Stegostoma tigrinum: one gene and its partners. The protein of the gene in region 3 interacts with the protein of the main gene of each other region in a biochemical or structural test. Links are inferred from orthologs where the notes say so. Each region holds a gene or a part of one and is shown on either strand. Other genes may lie near its edges.

The links.
Region 1: of the proteins of cdk1 (region 3) and rps3, one has a biochemical effect on the other in vitro, tested with the Homo sapiens proteins (2 studies listed by BioGRID, with this or other methods). The link is inferred for Stegostoma tigrinum from reciprocal best matches to the Homo sapiens genes CDK1 and RPS3.
Region 2: of the proteins of cdk1 (region 3) and prc1b, one has a biochemical effect on the other in vitro, tested with the Homo sapiens proteins (2 studies listed by BioGRID). The link is inferred for Stegostoma tigrinum from reciprocal best matches to the Homo sapiens genes CDK1 and PRC1.
Region 4: the proteins of cdk1 (region 3) and M-phase inducer phosphatase 1-B-like form a complex in vitro, tested with the Homo sapiens proteins (3 studies listed by BioGRID, with this or other methods). The link is inferred for Stegostoma tigrinum from reciprocal best matches to the Homo sapiens genes CDK1 and CDC25C.

What each region holds. Positions count from the first base shown.
Region 1 is NC_081359.1:90,805,103-90,812,163, reverse strand, and holds the start of rps3 (40S ribosomal protein S3), read right to left. Parts: upstream 3,023-7,061; 5' UTR 2,936-3,022; coding exon 2,906-2,935; intron 2,719-2,905; coding exon 2,588-2,718; intron 153-2,587; coding exon 59-152; intron 1-58. UniProt on the Homo sapiens protein: Component of the small ribosomal subunit. The ribosome is a large ribonucleoprotein complex responsible for the synthesis of proteins in the cell. Has endonuclease activity and plays a role in repair of damaged DNA.
Region 2 is NC_081389.1:22,225,505-22,232,993, reverse strand, and holds the start of prc1b (protein regulator of cytokinesis 1b), read left to right. Parts: upstream 1-4,469; 5' UTR 4,470-4,998; coding exon 4,999-5,012; intron 5,013-6,579; coding exon 6,580-6,712; intron 6,713-7,279; coding exon 7,280-7,402; intron 7,403-7,489. UniProt on the Homo sapiens protein: Key regulator of cytokinesis that cross-links antiparrallel microtubules at an average distance of 35 nM. Essential for controlling the spatiotemporal formation of the midzone and successful cytokinesis.
Region 3 is NC_081373.1:51,575,962-51,582,788, forward strand, and holds the start of cdk1 (cyclin-dependent kinase 1), read left to right. Parts: upstream 1-3,805; 5' UTR 3,806-3,830; intron 3,831-3,909; exon of another isoform or gene 3,910-4,062; intron 4,063-4,106; exon of another isoform or gene 4,107-4,130; intron 4,131-4,167; exon of another isoform or gene 4,168-4,288; intron 4,289-6,150; 5' UTR 6,151-6,247; intron 6,248-6,827. UniProt on the Homo sapiens protein: Plays a key role in the control of the eukaryotic cell cycle by modulating the centrosome cycle as well as mitotic onset; promotes G2-M transition via association with multiple interphase cyclins.
Region 4 is NC_081366.1:76,177,504-76,184,861, reverse strand, and holds the start of M-phase inducer phosphatase 1-B-like, read right to left. Parts: upstream 3,009-7,358; 5' UTR 2,234-3,008; intron 1-2,233. UniProt on the Homo sapiens protein: Functions as a dosage-dependent inducer in mitotic control. Tyrosine protein phosphatase required for progression of the cell cycle. When phosphorylated, highly effective in activating G2 cells into prophase.

The DNA of each region.
Region 1 (7,061 bases), on a different chromosome or scaffold from region 3:
ATAACAACACAGCCAATGAGTATCAAGAGAACATCGTGCTTCAATAAAGGTAACTTACCTCAACGCTTCCCTCTGGGAAACCAAATCGCTTCTGAACAACAGCAGTCAGTTCACGGATTCGGCGACCTTTCTCACCCAGAACGTTCTGAGTCCTAATAATGTCAGAAGAAGTTATCATACTTTGGGCAAATTGTTTATGCAACACAACTAATGTGGGCCTACAAAATTTGAAGTGTGAAGTAAAATAATGTAACTAAGGACCCTTTGGATTGTTAAGCTGCTAACATCAATAATTCCATCATTTACTTTTTAAATGAAAGGTAATTACAAAAGTTGATGATTATCATCTCATAACTTTAGGTTTATAAAGTAGCTTATAATCACTACACATTAGAGTTTCACTTGCCATTATCAAAATGCTTTCACTGTGACCGAATTAAATTTGCAAGATCACAGTACAGGTGAATGAACTTCAGACAAGACCATCTTTCAACATCTGACCTGCAGGCTTCTTTTCAGGTTAGGGTGGTGTGTGCTGCAGAAGTATGTATCATACAATAATCGAGCTACACGATGGTGAAGTAGCAGCATAACCAAATGGACTAGAACCTAAGACAACGATCTCAAAATGCACAGTACAAGATGAACCTTAAAGTCTTCAAGTGAGTGTGTAGCAATTTCACCTATACAAAAACAAATGTCAACTGGGAATAGACATGGCATGCAAAATGGTTCTACCAAGTCACATGAAGGACAAAGAAAAGGTAAATAGTTTAATTCATGAAGTAATTACCTGTCAACCACATGAAACAAAAATCAATTTAACTATGTGTTCAGATCAGAGGGGTATTGTAATTCTTGTCAATTTCACCTCCAGCAGGTTTTGGATACACACTGATGTGTTTCTGCACACCTATAGTGAACGTATGAGCTTAACTTCAAAGCCAAAGGTCAATAAGTCCCCTAGACCTGATGAGTTTCATCCTGTGATTTTAAAAGACTAGCTAGTGATACCAGTTGCACTTGTAACTTGCCAAGAATCCTCAGATTCAGGAAAAGACGCAGAGGACTAAATGACAATGCAACACACTTATTGGAAAAAAGTGTGACAAAACAGGTAATTATAAGCCAGTTAGCTTAGCAGGCCATTGGGTAGTGTTCAAAGATATTAAATAAAGAATCTAATATCAGAGCATTTAAAAGCATAAAACAAGTGGAAATTACACATAACAAGTCTACTACAGTTCTTTGGCAACAATAGGTCATTAAAGGGGTACCAGAAGATGTAGTACATTTGGATTGCCTAGAGGCATTCAATAAAGATACTACATTTAAGGCTACTTGTTAGCCCATGGTATGGGGGCTAGTATATTAGCATAGATAAAGGATTGGCTATCTAATACACAGATCAGAGATACAGGAATACATTGTGGGAAAGAGGTTATACGCTTTGGGAGGAAAACTAGAAGAGCTGAATGTTATTTGAATGGGGAAAGATTGCAGAAATTTGAAAGACAGAAGGATTTTGAGGTTTGAGTGTGAAAGTCAATGAAATGCTAGCCAAGCCTCAAGTGGCCACAGGGAAAGCAAACGGACCACAGTACAAAAAGGACTTGCTAAAACTATACAAGGCACTAGTCTGACCATAGCTAGAATTCTATGAACAGTTTTAATATCCCTTACCTAAGGGAAGATGTACCAGCATAAGAGTCACTCTTTTAATCCTTAGCTATGAAAACATTCTTATAAAGGAGATTTGAGCTTCTACTCAGTTTAGGAGAATGAGGCACAATATCATTGAAACACAGATTTCTTAGAGGCTTGACAGCGTGTATGCTGATAGGTTACAGAATTTAGGACCAGAGAACACAATCTCACAGTATGGAGTTGCACATATAAGACAAACAAGGGGAAACAGCTTTTCTTTCAGGAACTCCTTTACAGCAAAGGGCTGTCAAGGTTGGGTCATTAAGTGTTTTGAGACAGACAAGTTAAGAAAAAGGGAATTAAAGGTTATGTACAAAAAGGCAACATGGCAAAGTGGAGTTGAGGATCAACAAATTGGCTACAATATTAATGAATGGCAGTGTGGGCTCAGAGACAAATGGGCTACTTCTGTTGCTATCTTGTGGCTTAAATGTTGAAGCTGAACTTTGGAAATTCAGTCACTATTGAAATGCATGCACACAAGGCAACCAGTCTATACATAGAAAGCTCCCACAAACTGCAAAAAGAGAGAATGACTAGATCAACTATTTCATTAGCTCAGCTGAGGCAGAGTTCACATGCCATTACTGACAGTTTAGTCAACCATCTGGGCAGAAAAGCTGAACGCCTGATGGATGGCAGATTGCAGTGCTACACTGGCATCTCAGTGTAGTGCAATGTGCTCAAGTTGCACTGCCTACAGTCTGTTTTCTCAGCGGCAACAGTATCAATGGCGTGAACTACTACCTTCACCGTTCGGTCAGAGAGGCTAACAAGGCGTACACAATGTGTCAGTCAGAGACAGGGCCCAGTCAGGACCAACCCTCTGGGAGGGGGAAGGGCTACTAGGAACGTCGGCCGCTTAACTGTTTTCTTTTACCTGGTGGCCAAGATGATGATCTCGGTCCTAGTCGGGGTGACGCGGACCTCCACGCCACTGTAGCCATCCTCCGCCAACTCGCGTGTCAGGAACTCGTTGAGCTCGGCCTTGAAGATGCCGTCCGCCACGAACTGAAAACAGACGGCGCCATATTAAAAGTCAGGGGACACCATCCAAATCAATCCTCCTCCATCCGCCGCCGCCAGCATTCGACCCAGCCTCGTTCACCCTCGACGTCCTCTCCCACACTCACCCCCGTCCTTATTTCCTCGATCAGCGTTCCCGCCCTCCCGCTCCGCACCCACTCCCGCCGCTCACCTTCCGTTTCTTGGAGATCTGTGCCGCCATCTTCCTCGACGGGGCCGCGACTGAAAAGGAAGTCAACCCCGGGCTGATGTTATTTAAACAAGCAACCGTTTCCGGTTCGTCTCCTTCCACCAACGGGAATGAAGAACAGCAAGGCACGTGACTGCAGGCGGACACTGTGGCTTCTGGGTTATGTAGTTCATTTCAATTAAAAGCGTACACGTGGAATTACGTGGGAAAGAAACAATCAAAAACCCATCCTACCGGAAAGGTCTAATGTGCATGCTGCAGAATAAATAGGAACGGCTGCTGGAAATCTAAAATTAACAGAAGATACTAAAATCTGACATGGTTGTGGCTGGCCAGCTTGCCGAGCTGGTTCGTTGTTCCGCAGACATAGCATTACCCTGCAGGCTAACATCGACATTGCAGCCGCTGATGAAGCGCTGTTGTGTTTTCCCGCCTGTTATTTAAATAATATTGAAATGAAATACAATGAATTGTCTGCGGAACAACGAATCAGTTGGACATAGAGCAGTTTTTCCGCCGTCTTTGCCTCCATGCCTACTTCTTCAACCGGGAACCTAACCCTCCTTCCACTGACCCCTTCACCCGCTTCCAACACAAGTCCTCCTCCTGGACACCACCCCCAGGCCTCCTACCCTCCCTCGACCTCTTCATCTCCAACTGCCGTCGAGACATCAACCGCCTCAACCTCTCCACCCCTCTCACCCACTCCAACCTCTCCCCCGCAGAACGGGCAGCCCTCCACTCCAACCCCAACCTCACCATCAAACCCGCAGACAAGGGTGGCGCAGTGGTAGTATGGCGCACTGACCTCTACATCGCCGAGGCCAGACACCAACTCTCCGACACCACCTCCTACCGCCCCCTCGATCATGACCCCACACCCGAGCACCAAACCATCATCTCCAACACCATTCACGACCTCATCACCTCAGGGGACCTCCCACCCACAGCCTCCAACCTCATTGTTCCCCAACCCCGCACGGCCCGTTTCTATCTCCTTCCCAAAATCCACAAACCTGCCTGCCCTGGTCGACCCATCATCTCAGCCTGCTACTGCCCCGCCGAACTCATCTCCACCTATCTGGACTCCAATTTCTCCCCTTTGGTCCAGGAACTCCCCACCTACGTCCGTGACACCACCCACGCCCTCCACCTCCTCCAGGACTTCCAATTCCCTGGCCCCCAACTCCTCATATTCACCATGGACGTCCAGTCCCTATACACCTGCATTCCGCATGCAGATGGCCTCAAGGCCCTCCGCTTCTTCCTGTCCCGCAGGCCCGACCAGTCCCCCTCCACCGACACTCATCCACCTAGCTGAACTCGTCCTCACCCTCAACAACTTCTCTTTTGACTCCTCCCACTTCCTACAGACTAAGGGGGTGGCCATGGGCACCCGCATGGGCCCCAGCTATGCCTGCCTCTTTGTAGGTTACGTGGAACAGTCCCTCTTCCGCACCTACACAGGCCCCAAACCCCACTTCTTCCTCCGGTACATTGATGACTGTATCGGCGCCGCCTCTTGCTCCCCAGAGGAGCTCGAACAGTTCATCCACTTCACCAACACCTTCCACCCCAACCTTCAGTTCACCTGGGCCATCTCCAGCACATCCCTCACCTTCCTGGACCTCTCAGTCTCCATCCCAGGCAACCAGCTTGTAACTGATGTCCATTTCAAGCCCACCGACTCCCACAGCTACCTAGAATACACCTCCTCCCACCCACCCTCCTGCAAAAATTCCATCCCCTATTCCCAATTCCTCCGCCTCCGCCGCATCTGCTCCCACGATAAGACAATCCACTCCCGCACATCACAGATGTCCAAGTTCTTTAAGGACCGCAACTTTCCCCCCACAGTGATCGAGAACGCCCTTGACCGCGTCTCCCGTATTTCCCGCAACACATCCCTCACACACCGCCCCCGCCACAACCGCCCTAAGAGGATCCCCCTCGTTCTCACACACCACCCTACCAACCTCCGGATACAACGCATCATCCTCCGACACTTTCGCCATTTACAATCCGACCCCACCACCCAAGACATTTTTCCATCCCCACCCCTGTCTGCTTTCCGGAGACACCACTCTCTCCGTGACTCCCTTGTTCGCTCCACACTGCCCTCCAACCCCACCACACCCGGCACCTTCCCCTGCAACCGCAGGAAATGCTACAGTTGCCCCCACACCTCCTCCCTCACCCCTATCCCGGGCCCCAAGATGACATTCCACATTAAGCAGAGGTTCACCTGCACATCTGCCAATGTGGTATACTGCATCCACTGTACCTGGTGCGGCTTCCTCTACATTGGGGAAACCAAGCGGAGGCTTGGGGACCGCTTTGCAGAACACCTCCGCTCAGTTCGCAACAAACAACTGCACCTCCCAGTCGCAAACCATTTCCACTCCCCCTCCCATTCTCTAGATGACATGTCCATCATGGGCCTCCTGCACTGCCACAATGATGCCACCCGAAGGTTGCAGGAACAGCAACTCATATTCCGCCTGGGAACCCTGCAGCCGAACGGTATCAATGTGGACTTCACCAGTTTCAAAATCTCCCCTTCCCCAACTGCATCCCTAAACCAGCCCAGTTCGTTCCCTCCCCCCACTGCACCACACAACCAGCCCAGCTCTTCCCCCCCACCCACTGCATCCCAAAACCAGTCCAACCTGTCTCTGCCTCCCTAACCTGTTCTTCCTCTCACCCATCCCTTCCTCCCACCCCAAGCCGCACCCCCATCTACCTACTAACCTCATCCCACCTCCTTGACCTGTCCGTCTTCCCTGGACTGACCTATCCCCTCCCTACCTACCTCCCCACCTATACTCTCTCCACCTATCTTCTTTACTCTCCATCTTCGGTCCGCCTCCCCTCTCTCCCTATTTATTCCAGTTCCCTCACCCCATCCCCCTCTCTGATGAAGGGTCTAGGCCCGAAACGTCAGCTTTTGTGCTCCTGAGATGCTGCTTGTCCTGCTGTGTTCATCCAGCCTCACATTTTATTATCTTGGAATTCTCCAGCATCTGCAGTTCCCATTATCAACGAATCAGCTCGGTAAGCTAACCAGCCACAACATCCACAACCCGAGCTGCAAATCTACTCTAAAATCTGACAGATTGTACCATATCCCTTCAGCTGTTTACAACAATGAAGACGAAATGTTCGGAGGGATATAGGCCAAATGCAGGCAAATGGGATCATTTTATTTTGGGAAACGTGGACAGCACGGAAGAGTTGGGCTGAAGAGTCTGTTTCCATGCTGTCTGACTCTATGACTTTATAACAAGTGAAAGTATTGACTGTACCCAACCAGCCCGCACTTGCTAAATTCACAACACAGTGTCCCATGTTAGAGCAATCCCCCTATAACCCACCTAAGCTACACCTCTCTGAATACTATGTGCAATTTAGCACGAGCAATCAACCTAACCAGCACATCTTTGGACTGTGGGAGATAATCAATGTTAGATGTGATTCTACAATATTTTGCTGCAGATACTGAAATCCAAGGTAGCCACATGGGAGGCTGGAAGAACACAGCACGCAAGACAGCATTTGGACAAAAAGAGAAGTCAATGTTTTGGATATTACCCTTCTTCAGGACTGCTAAAGAAGTATACTGACAACCAAGCCTACAGTAAAGCTGCATAATCACTCAACCTTTATTAATTCAGCAAATAAGGTGACAGGCACGCAGTGATTCATTTCTCATAGCAATGTTCGAACTAATCAGAGTCAACCTGCCTAGTTTGAAATTTAGAGTCTGGCAGTTCAGTCTAACAGTCAATCATCTTTAACTGCTGCATTTCCAAAAGAAGTGTTTCTACCAATCAATCAACTTGCCAACCAACCAGAACAAATGTGGGTTCCCCTGCCTCGAACTGGTATTCTTGTGAATTATCCTGATGAGTACAAGACAAATAGCTTTGATAAAATTTGACAGTTTTTTTGTTATTGAGTCATACAGCATGGAAATAGATCCTTTGCTTCACCTTGTCCATGCTGGCCAAGTTTCCCCAAACCAAATTAATACCATTTGCCTGTGCTTGGCCCATATCTCTCTAAACCTTCCTATTCATATACTTATCCAAATTTTTTTTACATGTTGTAACTGTACCTGTATCTACCAATTCCCCTA
Region 2 (7,489 bases), on a different chromosome or scaffold from region 3:
AGTTCCCACTTTTCTTCTTATAGCCTTCCTTAAATAAAGACACAACAGCCTCCAGTCATCCAGCACTTCACCCATGGCTGGAGATTATAATTTCTTCCCTAAATTCCGATGAGTCCTGGGATACACTTGATCAGGTCCTGGAAATTTATCCACCTTTATATTTTTAAGACCTCCAGCAATTCTTCTTTTGTAGAATGGACCATTTTCAAGACATCAAGATTTATTTCTCTGAGTTCCCTAGCCTCCATTTCTTTCTCCGCAGTGAAAACTGATGCAAAGTATTCATTTAGTATCTCTCCCATCTCCTGTGGTTCCAAATGTAGACAACCTTGTTGCTCTTTAGCGGGCCTAATTGTCTCCCTTTTGCTCTTAATGTACTTATAGAATCTCTTTGGATTTTCCTTAGCCTTATTGAGTTATGGAGGTGTACAGTTTGGAAACAGACCCTTTGGTCTAACTTGTCCATGCTGACCAGGCATTCTGAAATAATCTAGTCCCATTTTCCAGCATTTGGCCCATATCCTTCTAAACCCTTCCTATTGATCTATCGAGTACTTAATGCTGAAGGTGCTAACCCAACACTAGGAAAATCAGGATAATAAAATGTGAGGCTGGATGAACACAGCAGGCCAAGCAGCATCTCAGGAGCGCAAAAGCTGACGTTTCGGGCCTAGACCCTTCATCAGAGAGGGGGATGGGGAGAGGGAACTGGAATAAATAGGGAGAGAGGGGGAGGCGGACCGAAGATGGAGAGTACAAGAGAGTTGCAATGGGAGAGAGATTCCCTGAGGTTGGTCCGGAGGGAGGAGGGTAACTTCTTCAGGTTAGGCATCCCATTGCAACTCTCTTGTACTCTCCATCTTCGGTCCGCCTCCCCCTCTCTCCCTATTTATTCCAGTTCCCTCTCCCCATCCCCCTCTCTGATGAAGGGTCTAGGCCCGAAACGTCAGCTTTTGTGCTCCTGAGATGCTGCTTGGCCTGCTGTGTTCATCCAGCCTCACATTTTATTATCTTGGAATTCTCCAGCATCTGCAGTTCCCATTATCTCTGATACTATTTTAACCTCACTGCGAAGCCTCTTCCAGGGATGCCTAACCTGAAGAAGTTACCCTCCGGACCAACCTCAGGGAATCTCTCTCCCATTGCAACTCTCTTGTACTCTCCATCTTCGGTCCGCCTCCCCCTCTCTCCCTATTTATTCCAGTTCCCTCTCCCCATCCCCCTCTCTGATGAAGGGTCTAGGCCCGAAATGTCAGCTTTTGTGCTCCTGAGATGCTGCTTGGCCTGCTGTGTTCATCCAGCCTCACATTTTATTATCTTGGAATTCTCCAGCATCTGCAGTTCCCATTATCTCTGATACTAGGAAAATCAGATTGGGTAGTACTCTGAACGCTTAAATGTACAACTACAAGTCACCAAGATAACAAAGGCTTTTCACAACTTTTATGTTCTACCGCCTGTTGTGTATGTGCAGAATCAAAATGTTAATCAAATCAGAGTCTACATGAGCAGTGTCAAATCCAAATACAAAACAAGTGTCTCCTGCCAAATTCTTTTCCAAGGCAATAAATAATTACATCATAAATCCTCCTTTCCTGGGACAATAAAGAAATGGCTTGAACAGTTTCTTCATTTCACAGTACCAAATGATGTTTTCTGGAAAAAAAATTGAGTGAAAAGTCAGATAGTAAGCAGGATTATTAAGGTCATTAGATGCCACAGCCAAGATTGACCAAATCTTCACACTGGCACTTCCAACAATTATTAGAACGCTGCCTGAATGCTTTCTTAGCTTAAAAAAGAGGCACAGAGATCACTTTTCCAGAAAACACCAGCTTCCCCCTTATATCCCACTTCTCTCCAGCACTGCCAGCAAAAATGTAGCTTGGAAGCTTGTTCGGCAAATGAAATACTGATCAAGGCTGTTCAGAGATATCCACATATGAGGAGGTTCATGATTGTATCAATTTGCTAGTATGCACTTTATACAGACCTGAAACAGGCACATGATGTTACAGATCTTAATATCTTTGCAAAGTGAGTTGTGCTGCCAAAGCTTTTCGCTAGAACTCATCAGAACAAATACAAATTGGTAACCTGACTTGCTAACCTAATTACACCCTTTTTCCACTGTAGTATAAATCGTGGCGATACTTAGAAATTAGGAATTCTTGCATTATCCTTAATGAACACAAGACAAACTAAAATGCTGCTTGGCCTGCTGTGTTCATCCAGCTCCACACTTTGTTACCTTTAGCAACTTGTTTCTCTTTTCAGCGATACTCGAAAACTTCAAAATTTTCCTTGCCACCATATGCCAGAGGCAAGCAACCAACTTGCCACCAAGCCTCTGTCAATGACACACTTTTTATGTAAAGAGAACTTGGAAAGAAAGTAGGCCAGTCAGCACGTAAATATTTCACCTCTCCCTATCATTGTCTACGTCTGCCAAGGCCCTCGTATCCCCCTTTTTCCCTCTTGATTTCCCACACGGTAATGGCCCTACACCTCTTATACTCTTCAAAGGATTCACTTATGGATTAATACAGTGTGGAAAAGGCCCTTTGGCCCATTGAGACTGCACCAACATATCTACCACCAGAGATACCAAAGTGTGGAGCTGGATGAACACAGCAGGCCAAGCAGCATCTTGGGAGCACAAAAGCTGACGTTTTGGGCCTAGACCCTTCATTAGAAAAGGGGGATGGGGAAAGGATTCTGAAATAAATACGGAGAGAACCCCCTCTCTCCCAATTCCCCTTTTCTGATGAAGGGTCTAGGCCCGAAATGTACGCTTTTGTGCTCCTGAGATGCTGCTTGGCCTGCTGTGTTCATCCAGCTCCACACTTTGTTATCTCGGATTCTCCAGCATCTGCAGTTCCCATTATCTACCACCAGAGATGTGTTAATCCTAATTTCTTGCACTTGTCCCATATCCTTGAATGTTATGATATTTGATGTTCTTATTGAAATATTTTTTAAAGGTCTTAAGGATTCCAAGCTCAACTACCTAACCAGGCAGTGCACTCCAGACTCCCATCACCTGCTGAATGTTAATTTTTTTTTTCTCTGAGTCTCCTGCCCCCTAACTTAAAACTATGACCTCCCATGACTGACCTCCTCAACCAAGGGGAACAGTGCTGTCTATGCACCCTGTACAAACTTCTCATAATCTTATAAACCTCAATCATGAACCCCCTCAGTCTTCTCTGCTTTAAAGAAAGACATAAAGGATTAGGACAACAGTGTGTTAAAATGGCAGAGGTAGATCAATCATAAATGGAAGGAACTGAATGGTCTAGTCCTCTTATTTTCCGATGCTCCTGTTATTTTTTAATCAAAATCAGAGTACCTTTCATCGTACAGTCCGACTCTTCATAGCTGCAGCTGTACTGGTCTTGACGAGACCACACATGGAGTATTGTGTGCAGTTTTGGTTTCCTTACCTGAGAAAACATGTGCTTTCCTTGGAGGGAGTCAGAAAAGGTTCACTCAACTGATCCGTGGAAATTCCAAGATAATAAAATGTGAGGCTGGATGAACACAGCAGGCCAAGCAGCATCTCAGGAGCACAAAAGCTGACGTTTCGGGCCTAGACCCTTTATCAGAGAGGGGGATGGGGTGAGGGTTCTGGAATAAATAGGGAGAGAGGGGGAGGCGGACCGAAGATGGAGAGTAAAGAAGATAGGTGGAGAGAGTACAGGTGGGGAGGTAGGGAGGGGATAGGTCAGTCCAGGGAAGACGGACAGGTCAAGGAGGTGGGATGAGGTTAGTAGGTAGATGGGGGTGCGGCTTGGGGTGGGAGGAAGGGATGGGTGAGAGGAAGAACCGGTTACAGGTTTGACATGAGAGGAGAGATTGGTTGACTGACCGTGTATTCACTGGACTTTATAAGAATGAGAGGGGATCTTATTGAAACGAATAAAATCCTGACCATGGCTGGACAGAGTAGAGGTTATTTCGCCTGGCCTGGGGTGTCTATAACAAGAGTCATTGTCTCGTCATGTGGGGGGAGATAAATTTTGAACTGAGGAGGAAAATTTCTTAACTGCAGGTGGCGAACCTCTCGAATTCTCCGGCACAGAAGGCTGAAGGCTGTGTAGTTCCGAAATATTTTAACAAACTAGTTTTGTAGAGACTAAAGCGGTACGGAGAGAGGAGCTTTGGTGTTGAGATAAAAGATCAGTCACCTTCATGTTGAATGGTGGAACGGATCTGATGGGTCGAGTGGCCTATTCTTAATCCTAACTTCTATGTTTCCTATTTAGATGTAAACATGTCACTTCTGTCATTAAAGACAGGTAAGATCAGCGATGATCCGACTGAATGGCAGCACAGTCTCGAGAGACTGATTGGCCGCCTCCCACACGCATGCGCCGATTCGGTTGACGTTGTGATGCAACGTCGTCGTAGCCAATGGAAACTTTTAGCGGGCTGGCGGTTGGAAAATTTGAATCTAATGAGAATAACGGCCGCAACGGTCTTGGAGAGAGCGACTGGACACCCGGGGACAGGGAGTCCGAGACCGAGAGACACCGGGACCCCCGGGGACAGGGAGTCCGAGACCGAGAGACACCGGGACCCCCGGGGACAGGGAGTCCGAGTCCGAGACCGAGAGACATCGGGACCCCCGGGGACAGGGAGTCCGAGACCGAGAGACGCCGGGACCCCCGGGGACAGGGAGTCCGAGACCGAGAGACGCCGGGACCCCCGGGGACAGGGAGTCCGAGACCGAGAGACGCCGGGACCCCCGGGGACAGGGAGTCCGAGACCGAGAGACGCCGGGACCCCCGGGGACAGGGAGTCCGAGACCGAGAGACGCCGGGACCCCCGGGGACAGGGAGTCCGAGACCGAGAGACACCGGGACCCCCGGGGACAGGGAGTCCGAGAGACACACACACCGTGAAAGCGGACGGTCCGTGAGCTGGAGGGAGAGTGAGATCGGACACGGTGATTTCCCGTTAAACTGACCGGCAGTGAGGGAGCGGAGTCGCAGGATGGTGAGGAAAAGGTAAGGGGTGGGGAGGGTGCAGGTGGGTAGTGGGAGAGAGGGCAAGGAGCCAGTATCGCAACACTCTCAGCTCCCAAAGCCCCACAACCCCCCCCCCCCCGAACCCCCACAGCCCCCCCCAAACCCCCACAGCCCCCCCAAACCCCCACAGCCCCCCCAAACCCCCACAGCCCCCCCCAAAACTCGGATCACCCAGCGCCACTCCGCACCCCCCCCCCCAACCCAGCGCCCCTCCCCTCCCCTGTTGTGTAATTGACTAAACTTTGGGTGTGCCTCTCCAGCCAGCGATTGGCAATAAAATTTTTCAAATTCTGGAGCAACAAAGGTGTTGACTCATTTTAACTGTCTTTAGACTGACATTTTGCATTGTTTTACTTGTCATTTTTGCCGTTCAAACTTTTTAAATCAATAACAATTATTTGCGTTCCCATGCAACACTGATGTTAGGATGTTTCTTGTCCTTTCAAATGTAGAGCAATCTACAGGATTCTTGCACAGAAATCTGCAATTTTAAAATTCTCTTTCTAAGAATGAACATTTTGCAAAAAGTGAATTCTACACTAAGGACAAGGTCTAATGAAGCGATTTAACCGGCCCTAAATTAGATCTCAGGAACTGCTCTTGAACAAAGGAAGAGTGTTAGGAAGGGTAGAAGGAGGGGAGTAGAGGGTGAGTTGAGGGAAAGAGGCAGGTTAGTGTGGATTGGGGAGAGATGGGATGAAGGAGGAGTGGGTGGAATATAGGGATGGGTGTGACTGAATGGAAGAAAAACAGTGGTACTGAAAGGGGGAAGTGGGAGAAGAAAACGAACACAGGCTAGGCAGCAACAGAGGAGCAGGAAAGTTGACATTTTGGATCGGAGCCCTTCCTCAGAAAAAGGATACTGACCCAAAACAGCAACTTTATTGCTCCTTTGCTGCCTGGCCTACTGAGTTCCTCCAGCTCCACACTGTATTGTCTCTGGCTCCAACATCTACAGTTCTTGAGATCTGAGGAAAATGATGGTCCTGTGCATAGGAGAGGGGACTGGTGAGTTAGGTGCGAGGTAGAGGGGAGGGAGGGAAGAATGGAAAGGACAGGGTGAGAGAGCGTCTGGGAGAAGGTGAAGTATTGAATGGTGGAGCAGACCGATAGGTCAAGTGGTTTTTCTCCCCCATGTTTGTTTTTGTTTTTCTTTTGAAAAATCAGCAAAATTTCGTGTTTAACTTTAGACTTTAATCTACCGTTGTGATTGAACTCTTGGTCCTAATTGTATATCTAGTGATTTGGACTCTTCCATTATTTTGGCCATGCTTAATTTGGATGAATGTTCCATCCAGAGAGAGTGAAATTTCTTTCAAGAACGGTAGTGTCAGTAAAATAGTGCTGACCAAAGTCTGAGCTGTAGGCAACAGTATTTGCTTTTCTGACAAGAGTCCCGAGCAAACAATAATTAGCACTGTTTCATTTTTGTAACACCTTTGTGTGTGCTTTTCTGATGATGCTCTGATTTATTGGATTTTCTGTATTGATTTGAGATACAATCAATTTTACGCATAAGTTATTCTGGTATTTTGCTGCTCTGCAGTGATGCTCTGGCCACAGAGTCAGTGACCTGTCTCAATGGAGCACTTGCCCATCTCCGGAATATCTGGGAAGAGATCGGGATTCCAGAAGATCAACGATTACAAAGAACTGAAGTTGTTAAAAAGCATATTAAGGCAAGAGCAAAAAATTATCAGAATTAACTTGAGCTTTACTAAAACAGAAGATGCATCCCTTAATTGTTGAAACAAGTTTTTTTTAAATCTGTCTTTGCGTTCTAATTTCAGTATCGGTTTACCTTCCGACAGTGAGATACACAATCTCAGAATGGTCCTTCTGTGGTCTAAGCTAATTTTGTTATTCATTGTTAATTGTGTTTACGTGTGGGGCCCTTTCCAAATGCCGTTGAATATTAGCTGGAATGGCCCAGATAAAAGTTACACTAAACTCTTAAGCTACTGTTATTTTACAACAGCAAGTAAATGTCCAGAGTGCTTGGTGTTACCAAATATCTCTTGGTGGTTTCTGGGCTTGAAGAATGACTTATCCTCTGATCCTATTTGCTGCCCATAGTGAACTGTTCAATCTGCATGTATTTTTTTATTTTTAATACGTTGGGTGCATATCTTTAAATAAAAAACAATTCTGTCAAAATGAATTGAACCTTCATTATCTACAACCTTTTTCACCTCTGGTGCAAATTGCAGCATGTGACTTGTACTCCTTTTTCCATTTTCGCACAGGGGTTGTTGGATATGATGATTGCAGAGGAAGAAAACCTGAGGCAGCGGCTGAAAAAGAGCATTGATATGTGCCAGAAGGAACTCCATGCTGTGTGCCAGGAACTCAATTTGTCTGTTTGCATGGTGGGTCAAATTTTACTATAAATCACTTTTCCTTTTGAGCAAGGCTTTGGGGAAAAGGGAAGAAAAATAGCTATTTTCCCACTCTTA
Region 3 (6,827 bases):
GTCTGCGTGGGTTTCCTCCAGGTGCTCCGGTTTCCTCCCACAGTCCAAAGATGTGCAGGCTAGGTGGATTGACCATGCTAAATTGCCCATAGTGTTCAGGGGTGTGTGGGTTATGGGGGGATGGGTCTGGGTGGGATGCTTCAAGGGGTCATGTGGACTTGTTGGGCCAAAGGCCTGTTTCCACACTGTAGGGAATCTAATCTAATCTAAACTGCCTGTAGTGTCCAGGGATGCTTAGGCTAGGTGGATTAGCAGGGTTAGGGGGTGCTTTTTGGAAGGTTGGTTTAGACTTGATGGGCTGAACGGCCTGCTTCTACACTGTGTCTGTGGTAAGAGCTTAGCTTCAGCGGGGAGCTTATGAACGAGGCTGAACTAGAGACACTGTGATGTATGACTGAGGGGGAAGGTTACCTGGATTTTCCCATACCAGGAGGCAGTCATACCACTTAGGATAGAGTCTTCTGATTTGGTCAGTGTTCAGGGTGAGTAGGCTGTATTTGTCAGGCAGCTAAGGGAATGCAGGGCACAGAATGCCAGTCTGTGCAATTGCCCAATAGCTGTGGGGTTCTCTAAGCCTGTTTGGATGAGAACAGGAGTTGCGGGCTGGATAAAAAAAAAACTGACTCTGGCACTGTGGTACAGGAAACCACTTGAGTCAAGAGAAAAACAGGGAACATAGTGGAAGCAGGGGATCGTACAATGAAAGGGACTGACACTCTGCAGCAAACAGTGACAGTCCAGGTGTCTATCCTGCCTGTCCAGTGCCAGGACTCAGGCTATCTGCTCAAAACTGGACAGTGACCTGCAGCACAACAGCGAGGATCCAGTTGTCATGGTCCATGTAGGTACCAACAACAGAGAGAGAGTTAGGAAAGGGGTTCTGGACCGGGAGTATGAGAAGCCAGGCACGGAATTAAAAAGCAGAGCCTCAAAGGTTTGAATCTCTGGATTACTACCTGCGCCGTGTACAAATTGGCATGGGGACATAAAGTTAGAGAGGTGAATACATGGCTCAATGATTGGAGTGGGGGATATAGGTTCTGGTTTGTAGGCCACTGTCACAAGAGCTGGGAGAAGTGGGGACTGTACTCTTGGGGCAGTCTATATCCAGAACTGCGCTGGACCCAATGCTCTTGTGAAATTTAACAGTGAGGACTAAGACACTGGATGTGGCATGTCAGAAAGTGGAGACTGGGTAAGAGAGGTAAACAGTTATGTGGGAATTGAGGGTCAGAGAGATAAACCAGGAATACTCCAATAATCAAGACTAAATGTCACAAAGACAATAAAAAACAAAACTAATGTCTCTGCTTAAGAATCTGCACTGCATTTATAATAAAGTAAATATCTTGATAGTGCACAGTGAAATTAAGAAATACAATCTGAGGGCCATTACGGAAACATTTGTTATCTCAGATTCTTCAGCATCTGCAGTTCCTATTATCTCTGCAGGACAAGAAGGATTGGATCCTGAATATTGCAAGTATATGATATTCGAAAACAAAAGCAAGTTAGATAAAGATGGATGATTAGCAATGTTACTCAAAGGTGGCACAGTGTGTAACAAAGTATATAGGGTGTTTGTAATATAAAGGGACGGCAATGATCATGGGTAACTTTAATCTCCCTGGTACCCAGCACATATGGGAATTGGGAGCTTTTTATTTTAGCAGCATCAGACGGCTGCATGAGAAATGACTCAAGAAGAACGTGCGTTGTAAAACTGTGCAGCCAGAACTGTTCATAAACACCTGGCCATGGTAGGTGGTTCTGAGTTTATCGATAAGATAATTCTTGAAATGGCTTTAATAAAACATCTGATCCTTTATTCCTTTCCAATACCTATCGCTGGTCAAGTATAATATGCGTGCATGTCTGAAAACTGAAAACAAAACCTTAAAACAGAAAGTCTTTTTGAAAGCAGCTTGGAACAGACATGTAGGCACACTGAGTTTAAGCCCCTTAGAAAGACAAAACAGTGGTTCAGCGGTTAGTACCGCTGCATCACAGCACCAGGGACCTGGCTTCAATTCCACCCTTGAGTGACTGTGTGGACTTTGTATGTTATTCCTGTGTCTGCACAGATTTCCAACCACAGTCCAAAGATGTGCAGGATAAATGGATTGGCCATGCTAAATTGCCTGTAGTGTGCAGACTATGTGGATTAGTGTGGGAAATGCAAGGTTTACAGGGATTGGGTGGGATGTTCTTCAGGGGATTGGTGTGGACTTGATGAGCCACGTAGACTGCTTACACATTGTAGGGATTCCAAGGTCATAAAAAGACCTCACTTTTCGGGCCATTCAAGCGAAGCTAAGAATTTGTCAACAAGGTTTGAACAGATCTGAATGATCGTGGGGCACGAGGAGGGCGTAAGAGGAAAATTGAGTTGAGGCCACAATCAGACATTCCATGATCTGTTTGAATGAGGGGACACATCTGAGGGGCTGAATGGCCCACAACTACTCCCTATTTCTGAGATAGTAGGAACTGCCAATGCTGGAGAATTGAGATAACATGGTGTGGAGCTGGATGAACTCTGCAGGCCAAGCAGCATCAGAGGAGCAGGAAAGCTGATGTTTCGGGTCTGGATCCTTCTTCAGAAATAGTCCCTATTTCTTCTGATTTTACCCACCCTCCATGTCAACTTGGTGATTGGGCTGGTTCTGAGGTTGGCTGTTTTTGAAGGTCATTGGGAAATGTGACCAGAAACGAACAGTTCAGCAGGTCAAGAAGAGGATCCCCCAAAAACCCTTCCCCTGAGTCAAATCCAAAGCCAATTTTGGGGGCGGAATGGTGTCTCAGTGGTTAGCACTGAGCCTCACAGCACCAGGGAACCAGGTTCGATTCCAGCCTCGGGCTACTGTCAGTGTGGAGTTTGCACATTCTCCCCGTGTCTGCGTGGGTTTCCTCCACATGCTCCGGTTTCCTCCAACAGTCCAAAGATGTGCAGGTTAGGTGGATTGGCCAGGCTAAATTGCCCATAGTGTTCAAGGGTGTGTGGCTTATAGGGTGGGATGCTCCAAGGGGCGGTGTGGACTTGTTGGGCCAAAGGGCCTGTTTCCACACTGTAGGGAATCTAATCTAATCTGTGCCAATATGTGAGTTCAAAAATGACTAGTATCTTCCTCTCCAACAAATGCAGAGAGCTTCGGGTCACCTGAGCCACCTCAGGAGATGCTGACCACCAGGGTGCAAACCAATATCTTACAAGGCAGGAGGCAATAACAGTGCCAAAACCTGCCATTTAAAATCCGCCCGCTCACCTCAAACCTTTAGCGAAACAAAAAAATCCAGCAACCGGAAAAACAATCCAAGTTTGCGCTCAAGTTTCGGGCCGTCCCTGACCGCCTCCAAAGTTCCCTGCCTGATTCCAGACCCAGTGGTGACCCAGCTCTCTGATGAAGGGTCTAGGCCCGAAACGTCAGCTTTTGTGCTCCTGAGATGCTGCTTGGCCTGCTGTGTTCATCCAGCCTCACATTTTATTACCAGTGGTGACATGCCCCGCCCCATCGTCAGACCCCGCCCTTTATCGGACCACGCCCCACGGTCAGACCCCGCCCCATCATCGGGCCCCTCCCCACTATCGAACATCGCCCCGTCCCCAGACACCGCCTCATCGACGTGCCCCGCCCCATCGTCAAATCCCGCCCCGTCCGCAGGTTCCGCCCATCCTGGGGCCCCGCCCCACGGTCGGAAGCAGACTGACGGTCAGGCCCCGCCCCGCCTCCAGGCCCCGCCCATTCACCGCTACCGCTGAGCTCCGGCGTTTCGCGCCTTTCTCGTTGGCCACCTAAGCGCTGGGCGAAGGACCTCAGCGAGCTCCCCCGGTTTGATTGGCCCCTTTGAATCCAAATGGCGGCGCGGATTGGCTACGGGTTTGAATCAGGGAGGGAGCGGTTGGAGGGGGAAGAGCGAGCGAGTGGCGTTCAAACTGCGGCGGGAGCGGGCACGGCAACGGGTAGTGTTGGTCTCTCTGTGTCAGCCCAGCGCTGCTCGGCCTGTTACAGCAGCCCCTTCGTCATCGCCGCCGCGCTGCTTGCAGGTTGGCCCCGGCGGCAGGTGGGGACCAGGAATAAAAACCGCCTCCCGGGCGATGGGAGATCCCCTCCCATCGCCCGGCTCGAGGGGTACGTCGGGGGTGGCAAACCTCAGGCCCGGGCTGAATCTGGGCCTCCTGGACGTGCCCGAGGTGGTAGTGGTTGGAAGGGTGGTCGTCAGACTAACTTCTGAAGGCTACACGTGAACCTATTTTTTTAAACTCACGGCTGTAGCACCTGCTGTAATTGTTAGTGTCGATGTTTATTCCTGTTTTTGTAGAGTTGACCAACAATCTGCTTTGGTTAGATGAGGCTGAGGGGGTTTAAGAGCGGTTTCTATTATAAGAGTAGCGAGATCATTAACCGCGGACAAAATTTGAAATAATTGGTTTAGAGGTGAAGTAAGTAACTTTTCGCATCCAAAGGGGTCGTAATACCTGAACGAATTGTGCCTTTAACATACTTGTGTATTTGTGGTGCTATTAACTACAGAATTACGGACCAAGAATTGGAAAAATCATCACCATTCCAGTACTGAAGAAGGGTCCTATCGCATTTGAAATATTTATTTCTCCAAAGATAGTGCCAGACCCACTGAATCTCACCAGCGCTTTGTTTTTATTTAACAATCTGTACGCTCACAGTACTTTTGATAGTTAAAAATGGGACTGGGCTTGAGGACTCATAACTGTCAAAGATGTAGCGATTGAGATGTACAGCATGATCTTCATTCTTAATACATTCATGGGATGAGGGTGTTGCTGGCTTGGCAGCACTATTGCCTATCCGTAATTGCCCAGAGGCAGTTCAGAGTCTAACATATTGCTGAGTCTAGAGCCGCATGTAGGCCAGACCAGGTAAGGAAGGTAGTTTCCTTCCCTAAAGGACATTAGTGAACCAGGTGGGTATTTCCTGACAATTGACAATGGATTCACAGTTGTCATTAGAGTTTTAATTCCAGATATTTTATTGAATTCAAATTCCCCCATCTGCTGTGGTGGGATTCTGGTCCCCAGAATGTTGTGTGGTCTCTGGATTAACAATCCAGCAATAATACAACCACGTCATTGCCATCCCCCTTTTGTCCAACTCGTCCATGCCGAACAGTTATCCTAAACTAATCTAGTCCCATTTGCCACTACTTGGCCTGTATGCCTCTAAACCTTTCCTGTTCATAGACCCATCCAAATGCCTTTTAAATGTTGTAATTTTTCCAAGCTTCCACTTCCTATGGCAGCTCATTCTGTTACATATTGTGTGAAAAAGTTGTCTGTTGGGTCCCTTTTAAATCTTTCCTCTCTCTCCTTAAACATAATTGACTAAATTGTTTCTTCTGTGCTGTAAAAGCATACAAAAGCAAGGGAATTATGGTGAACCTTTGTAAAACTGATTTGACCTCAACAAATACTTTCCATACTGTACCACATGAGCCTAAATTGCATGGATAGGGTGAAACTGTTCCTGATCTTGGAAGAATCACTGATTTAAGGACATGAAGTGACATGAAGCGCAATCTTTCTCATCTGCAAGTGGTTAGAATCTAGAATGCAGTGCCTGAGAATGTTATGAAGGCAGTCTCAGTTATAGATTTTAGAAGAGTTTTTTTTCTCTGAAGAGAAATCGTGAAAAGTGGTCTGGTGAGACTAGCTGTTTTGGGCACCTGCCATGAACATACTGCATGACTATCTATTTCCACCCAACCTGTGTTATCACTATTCTGAAATTATCTGCTTCTATCAATGAATGTCATGGCCAGAAAGGCTGTTGGACCGTGGGTCTGGAAAATCTGGTTATTTCATGCTGTAGGTGGTTGCCTCGTGACCTCCTCTGGAAAGTGTGGGCTTTGGCATGTTTTAGTTATGATGTCCAATCATGCTCGTTGGCCAGTACCATAGTGGTTCAATTGTGAAGAATATTAATTATTCTTCTCACTTAATTGGATGCTTTAGAGTCGCCAAGACTGTCAATCTGGAGAAATTCTGATACCAGCCCCCCTCTTTATATGCTGTATTGCTGACATTAGGTCAGTTTTACTGCTTGTAATTTTCTTCATCTAAAGTCAAGGTACGGAAGAAATTTGTAACATATGGGCTTATCTGAATTTCAACAGACCATCTGTCCATTACACTGGTCAAAGCTGCAAGGATCAACCTGTATCAAAGTTATTCCTAGAAGATTTAACCTGGGTCTTTTGCCTGTTAATACGGGTAAGTTTTCTGATATTTTAAATTTTAACCTCTTGATCCTTTGTAAGTTCTTCACCTGTTGTTTAACATTATGAACTTTCCAAGTTTTCTTCAAAATTTACAGGCAACTATCACAATGACAATGAGGTAGAGCTTTCTTGGGGGAACCAAAATGCATAACAACACACATCCAAGTCAAACATATCTATCTTCCCCTCTGTCACAATTATCACCAGATTGTTGCATTGTCCAATTTATATTTTGATAATAACTTGTCAGAAGATCTACAGGCAGATTCAAGGATAACTGATCAAGGGCATTAAAACCAATTGTTAGTATCCAGCCAAAGGAAGGGAGAAGAAGTTAAGAATGAACTGCAGTGATTCCTTGGCATACTGCAAAAACTGATTCCCTTTACTGCAGGGAGTAAATTATACGGTGTAATCAAAAGTAGTGCAGTTTGGCTACATAGAAACCGACTGACTATGGTTCAAGTAATAAATACTAAATGCTCTCCAGGTGAGAGCTACTTGGCAGGTCATTTTAAGAGAATGAATGTGAGATAGGAATAGGGTTAAGAGAATCATCAGCTCCCACAGGA
Region 4 (7,358 bases), on a different chromosome or scaffold from region 3:
GGAATTGGGAAATAGGGGATGGAGTTTTTGCAGGAAGGTGGGTGGGAGGAGGCATATTCTAGGTAGTTGGGGGAGTTGGTGGGCTTGAAATGGACATCGGTTTCTAGGTGGTTGCCCGAGATGGAGACAGAGGTCCAGGAAGGTGACGGATGTGTTGGAGATGGCCCAGGTGAACTTGAAGCTGGGGTGGAACGTGTTGGTGAAGTGGATGAACTGTTCGAGCTCCTCTTGGGAGCACGAGGTGGCGCTGATACAGTCATCAATGTAACAGAGGAAGAGGTGGGGTTAGGGCCAGCGTGGCTGTGGGAGAGGGACTGTTCCACGTAACCTACAAAGAGGCAGGAGGGTCTAGGCTCAAAACATCATCTTTCCTGCTCCCCGATGCCTCTTGGCCTGCTGTGTTCATCCAGCTGTACACATTGTTACCTCAGACTTTAAATTTGATAAGTTTTTGGTATCTAATCGCCTGGTTCAAATTGATTAGCTAAAGGCAAACGCCCATTGTCTTGGTAAAACTACTGCTGGGCCTGCTCACTGTATGGGCTTTTGATGCAAACATTTCACTTCGGGTGCTTTCTGTGCACTTGCAAACTTCCAGGGTTCTGCTCACAGGCATCCATTTTACATCTCTAAGCACAGAAAAAGCACATGATCTTTTAAAGGGACCACGCAATGCCTCCCCCCACCCTCGAATTTTACAAACACCAAATTCCTGCCTCCCAATTCACACGTACTCTATCCAATTTTGCAACATTGATGATCCTTTGTGGACTTACCTATGGGCTGAGATTGACATAACCCCATAAACCCCATTTTCCAGAGGTGAAATAAAAGTGGGATTGACTGGACTACTTCACAGTATTTCCTCAACAGGCCAAACAGCCTCGTCTTGTGTCATACTGAATCAGACTCGAACACTGAGAGCCCACCATTAAATCAGAGCTGCAACTCTCCGCTGGTGTCTAGTTCAATGTTGCAAACTCTGCTCTGCCTTCCCCTCCCACCCTCCGCAAAGCCAGTTTGTTTCCCTAATCCTGTAACTACATGGAGAGCAGCCAATTATTGTTTTGGAGTCGATTCACTGCTGGTTGCAATTAAGTGGGAGCCTAAGATGGCTAGTTGTTTAGAATTCTTATAAATCTGAAGTAAATGCAACATAAAAATCCCCAACATCCTAAAACAAAAGTTGACATCCAGTTGTGCAATAAAAGCATGCACACCCCTCGTACATGGACGACAACAAATACAGCTTGCCCCTGACTAACTCACTTTATCCCAGGTGAGGTTTGAACCACAAGCTTGAGCTCTTTAGGCAATGTGCTTAACTCAAAGGAATCTCCTAGGGTTTGGGGCCAGTTTGTACCAACCAGCCCACTTCTAAAACCATGCAATATGGCGGTACACAGGCACAGGTGATTCAGCCATAGAGCTGTACAGTCTGGAAACAGACCCTGCCGTGCAACGCGCCCACACCAACAGAAAGTAATCCCCTCCCATTTGCCAGCATTTGGCCCATATGCCTCTATACCCTTCCTATTCATGTACCCCTCCAGAAGCTTTTCAAATGCTAGAACTGTACCTGCCTCCACCACTTTCCTCTGGCAGAACTACACTCTGCAGGTCCCTGTTAAATCTTTCCCCAAAACAGTCTAGTTTTGGGCTCTGCCACCCTGGGGAAGAGACCTCGGCTATTCACTATCTCTGGCCCTCATGATTTTATAAACCATGATGAGGTCACCCCTCAGCCTCCAACATTCCAAGGAAAATAGCCCCAGTCTATTCAGCCTCTCCCTATAGCTCAAACCCTCCGACCCTGGCAACATCCTTGTAAATCTTTTCCGAACCCTTTCACGTTTCACAACATCCTTCCAGTAGCAGGGAGACCAGATTGAATGTAATATTCCAAAAGTGGTCTAACCAATGTTCTGTCCAGCTGCAACATGACCTCCTAACCCCTTTACTCAATGCACTGACTATAAAGGCAAGCGTACGAGATGGCTTCTTCGCTATTCTGTCAACCCGCAACTCTACTTTCAAGGAACTACGAAGCTGCACTCTCATGTTGATAGATTACAGTTTAAGTGGTGTGAACTCCTGACAATGGGAGTACTGTAATTTAAAGTTACACCAGCAGATAAGGGAACACAAAACATTAAATATTGGGCAAATCTTATTTTACAGCACATTAAAACCAAAGCTACATAAACATTGGATTCTCAGTGTGATCACTTACCCCTTCAGGATGTTTGAAATGGAGTTCTGAAGTTTCAACACTCTACAGAGGTCCAGGGATTTCTTGTTGGCTCTGACTAGTCACAAAAATGGTGTTGTTTCACCAAAGCTAGGATTGACCAAAGTCAACCCAAGGTGGTAAATCCTACAATATGCACTGGGTAATTTCATTTACAAATAGCAGTATTTGTATCCAGCAGCTGAAGATTTTGGTAAGCCTGTTGTTTCTGCCTGTCCACAACCAAAAAAAAAAATGGATTTTTGTTTCTTTCCACCTTTAAGAAGGGTTAAGAGAAAAGCTTCATTTATGTTTTCTGACAATTCAGAGCAGAGGGTTTCTAACTCTCCCCCCCCACCTTTCCAACTGTCAGCTCCAGAACACAAGGCCTATCATTTCCTTCTCCTCTACTCACCATCTGAAGTCAAGTAAACAAGGTCCTTTCTCTTTCCCAGTAGCAGTTAACAGTGTCTGTCTGTCTGTCTCTGTATACGATCCTGTTGTCTCCCTCACACTCTGTACAAACAGTCTGGCCTGGTCTCTATCTCACTCATGCACTCCCAGCATACAGGGTCTAGGCAATCTAGCTCTCTCCCACTCCTAGTGGAGTTTTTCTTCATGTTTTTCTTCCCAGCATACAGGGTCTAGTCTTTCCCTCCCTTTCTCTTCTTGTATACAGGATCTTAGTCTCTCTCTGTCCCTCATACATACACATAGGTCTCATCTGTCTTCCTTTCTCATTCTGACAGTATTGAATATCCAGTCATCTCCCTCCAGGAATACATAATCTCAATTCTCCCCCCCTCCCTCTCTCTCTCCCCCTCCCCCCAAATACAGTATCAAGTTGCTTTCTCTTTGTTCCTAATGCCACCCTACAGAGACAAGTCTCTCTCACTATCTCTCTCTCTCACTACACAGGACCCAGTCTCTCAGCTTCACCCCAATTACAACAGTACAGATTCCAATCTGCGTGTCTCTTCTCTTACTCTTTTTTCCAGCTTTATGAAATTCAAACCCTCTGTTTTTTTCTCATTCTCTCCTTACGAAACAAGGTCCCAGCGTGCAGGATCTGGTCTCACTCCCTGCCTAACTTCCAGTCACACACGTGTCATCACCCTCTCTCCCGGGCTCAGTTAAACTCTCTGTCTCACCACCAATTCCGAGTCTTCATCTCTCTACTGTCACCCCCAGCAGAGAAAAAAAGAAACTTTGATCTGTCTTTCTTTCGCTCTGTCAATCTCCCCACAGAAGGGATTTGCTCTCCCTCTCTCTAACTACTAACACAGAGACCTTTTCCCTGCCATTCTCCGCTAACTGGAATATAAAAACTCTCTGAGCATTCCCTTCAATCACATTCAGCAGAGCGAGCATGCCTTTCCCTAACTCGCCATCAGTGCCTGCTAGCCCTCCCTGTGCTCCTCTAGCTCCGCCACTTCCGCCTCCAAAGGGATTTTAAATCTGCCGCGCTGACACTGTTACATTATCAGCCAATGGCGTCTCTGTTTCCGGGAGCAGCCAATCACAGACCGCAGCCTGGGTTTGAAGGCTGGGGGAGGGAAGGCTGTTGGCCCGCCTCCCGCTCTGGCCCATTGGTCGTTTCAGGTCGGGCTGTCTGATTGGACCAGTTGACTGTCAATCAAGCCCACGGCCCTTGAAAGCTGCGCTGGGTCCAAGCGTCTGCCTTTGAAATTGCGATGGGACTCGGTTTGTGTTTCCTCCTGTTACACCCTCTCAATAAATCCAGTCCTTTAGAATATGTTGCAGAGCACCAGTGTTATAGGTCTGAAAGCAAGCATGCCAATGGTGTGTTTGAAGGAGCAGTTCAAAAGAGGACATTTGACCCAACCAAACAGTCCCCTACAGTGTGGAAACAGGCCATTCAGCCCAACAACTCCAAAGAGCATCCCACCCGTACCCAGCCCCTACACAATCCCTGCAGCCCTGCATTTCCCACAGCTAATCCACCTAACCTGCAAATCCCTGGATGCTATGGGCAATTTAGCATGGCCAATCCTACACATCTTTGGACTGTGGGAGGAAACCCACACCGATGTGGGGAGAATGTGCAAATTTCACACAATTGCCTGAGGCTAGAATCAAACCCAGGTCCATGGTACTGTGAGGTAGCAGTGCTAACCACTGAACTGCTATGCCATCCCATTGTGTCTGTACCAATTCCCATTAACAGCTACACAACTGATATGAGCCCTGACTTTTCCCTTTCGCAAAATGTTTTCTTTTCAGATTAGATTCCCTTCTGAATCAGCTTTTCCACATGCCTGTACATCTCAGATCCACGAGCCCTGCAAAGAAGCGTTTTCTCCTTGTTACATTTGGGTTCTCTTGCCACAGACTTTATATCAGCAGTTTCTGTTTCCTGAACCTTTGACCAATAAAATCAGTTCCTCCCAACCTGTCCAGATTTTTGAACATCCCCATCAATTCATCCCCCCCAACAACAACAGATCTGACCCCTCTGATCTACCCATGGAAGTTGGTGGAATTTAAAGTGAAATTTGTAAGACTCGGAATGAGTATTAGTAATAATATTAGTAACGGCTTAGTAATGGCAGTTCAAAACAATAATTGATTGTATTTTTCAAAACCCAGGCCATTCAATAATATCCTTTACAGAAGAAAATCTGCTTATGTGCTGTCATCTACATGAGACTTCAGGTACAGTGCAGTGCAGTTGACTGTGAGGTGGCCTCTGAAATGACCCAGAAAGCCGCTTAGTTCAAGACCCATTAAAGATGGGCAACAAATGCTGGGTCTGCCAGCAACCCCCACAAGAATTTTTTAAAATATCCGCGCAGCTGAAATTAGACATCCCCCAAACCATTCCAATGTATCTTTTCTGCATCCTCTCATAGAGTCACGGAGCAAGGAAGCAGATCCTTCGGTCCAGAGTGTCCATGCTGAAGAAGTTACTCTCCTCTCTCCGGACCAACCTAAGGGGATATCCATCTTCAGTCCGCCTCCCCCTCTCTCCCTATTTATTTCAGAATCCTCTCCCCATCCCCCTTTTCTGATGAAGGGTCTAGGCCCGAAACGTCAGCTTTTGTGCTCCTGAGATGCTGCTTGGCCTGCTGTGTTCATCCAGCTCCACACTTTGTTATCTCATAATCCCAAACTAAACTAGTCCCATTTCTAATTTCTTCATGTCCTTCTTAAAGTGTGACTTTTGACTAAGTGCTTTGGGTCTACCACAATGAATGAACTATTCCAAACAAAAACATTACAGTTAATACAGGCAGAATATTTGTTCTTATGCAAAGTTCTGTTAACACTAGATTCATTGAAGTTTCAGAGCAGGCTGCTGTAGCGTCCATTTGGTGCCATAAACATTTGCCAAAGTCTGCATGGACAGTGCATGCTGTCAGTTTGCTGTTTAAAAATTTCCAAAATATATTCTGAACGCCAAAAGTCCTTTTTCTAAAAAATATAAGCGGACAACAGTTTGCGGGTAAAACACCTTCAATGCAAAGAAACATCACAAGATTCGCTCTAATTGTAACAAAATAGGATCCCTGAACAAGAATTCGGGAGATTTGGTAGGGTGAGGGAATCTTGGTGGCGAATTTGAAAGGTTTTTAAATGTAGAGAGGGAGATAGTTCAGTAAATTTATTTCTTATATACCGCTCTATACTGAGAAGAAGTGCGATGTTGAACTTTTCACATTTCTTTATTTTTCTACTTTTTACCAAAGATTTTGGACCTAAGATGGCACTGCGAATGGCAACATTGTAAACTTTTCACTGTACTTCTGCATCCTTCCGCTTGAGTACATGTGACAATGAAACCTAATTCCGAACGCTCTGTTACATACCTTGGGACAAGAATGGGGCTGTTGGAGATTATAGAGATTGGTGGAAAAATACAATGAAGGAACTTATGGATGAGTTCCAGGATGTTTAATGTGAAGATCAGTGTAACTCCAAGCAGAATTTAACACAGGAAAGAGCACATGTGAAGACATGGACCATTTGAAGTCTCTGGAAGCTGGCACAACGCCATGTAAAGAAAATGCTGGAAATATTCAGTAAGTCCAGCGGCACACTGGGGTCATAGTTATAGAGTCACACAACACAGAAACAGACACTTCGATCCAACCAGTCCATGCCAAACATAATCCCAAACTAAACTAGTCCCGCCTACCTGGTCCTGGCCCATATCCCTCTAAACATTTCCAATTTGTATGCTTATCCAAATGTCCTTTAAATGCTGTAACTGTACCCCCATCCACCACTTCCTCAGGAAGACCATTCCACACGTGAACCATCCTCTGTGTAAAAAAGAGTTTCCCATCACATATTTTCATTTGGTTGATGACTTTTCATCTCTGAATCATCCCCAGAATTGAATCTAACGGTACATTTGTGTTTGCATGGGGTGGAGACCTGCTCAAGAAATTGCGCCTTTGGAATTAGAGTGTCGTGGATGTTGTTTATTGTTCTGAAAGGGTTAGTGCTCTACAATGCCTCAAGGTGACAAACAGAGGTTGTGAACGCAGCCCAGTCCATCACACAAACTGACCTTCCATCCATTGACTCTATCTATACTTACCACTGCCTCGGGAAAGCAACTGGCAGCATCAAAGGCCCCTCCCCCACCCCAGTTATAACCTCTTCCCCCTTCTTCCAGCGGGCAGAAGATACAAAAGTTTGGGAACACGTACCAACAGATTCAAGAACAGCTTCTTCCCTGCTGTTATCAGATTCATGAACAGACCTCTCAATTATTTATATAATTTCTTTTTTATCCCTTTAGTAATGCTGTTAGAAAGACTATACATTAACCCGTATGGTGTGTGTCAGCAATCATCAGCTACCTCATCTGAAGAAGATTCAACGTCAGACTTCTGTAATTTCAATCTAATGTTGATCTGGCTTTGTGCACCCCCTGTGCAGTTGTAACCTGTCTGCCTTGCTCTGTCTAAGCATCCCATGATCTGTACGTTCTTATTTGCTATGATCTGCCTGTGCTGCTCGCAAACCACAACTTTTCACTGTACTTAGGCATATGCAACAACAATAAATCAAATCAAATCAAATCAGTCAGGAGACAATGAGGAGAAATAAACAGGGCTTTTTCCAAGTGACAGGCAGCAACCTGTGGGACACCTCA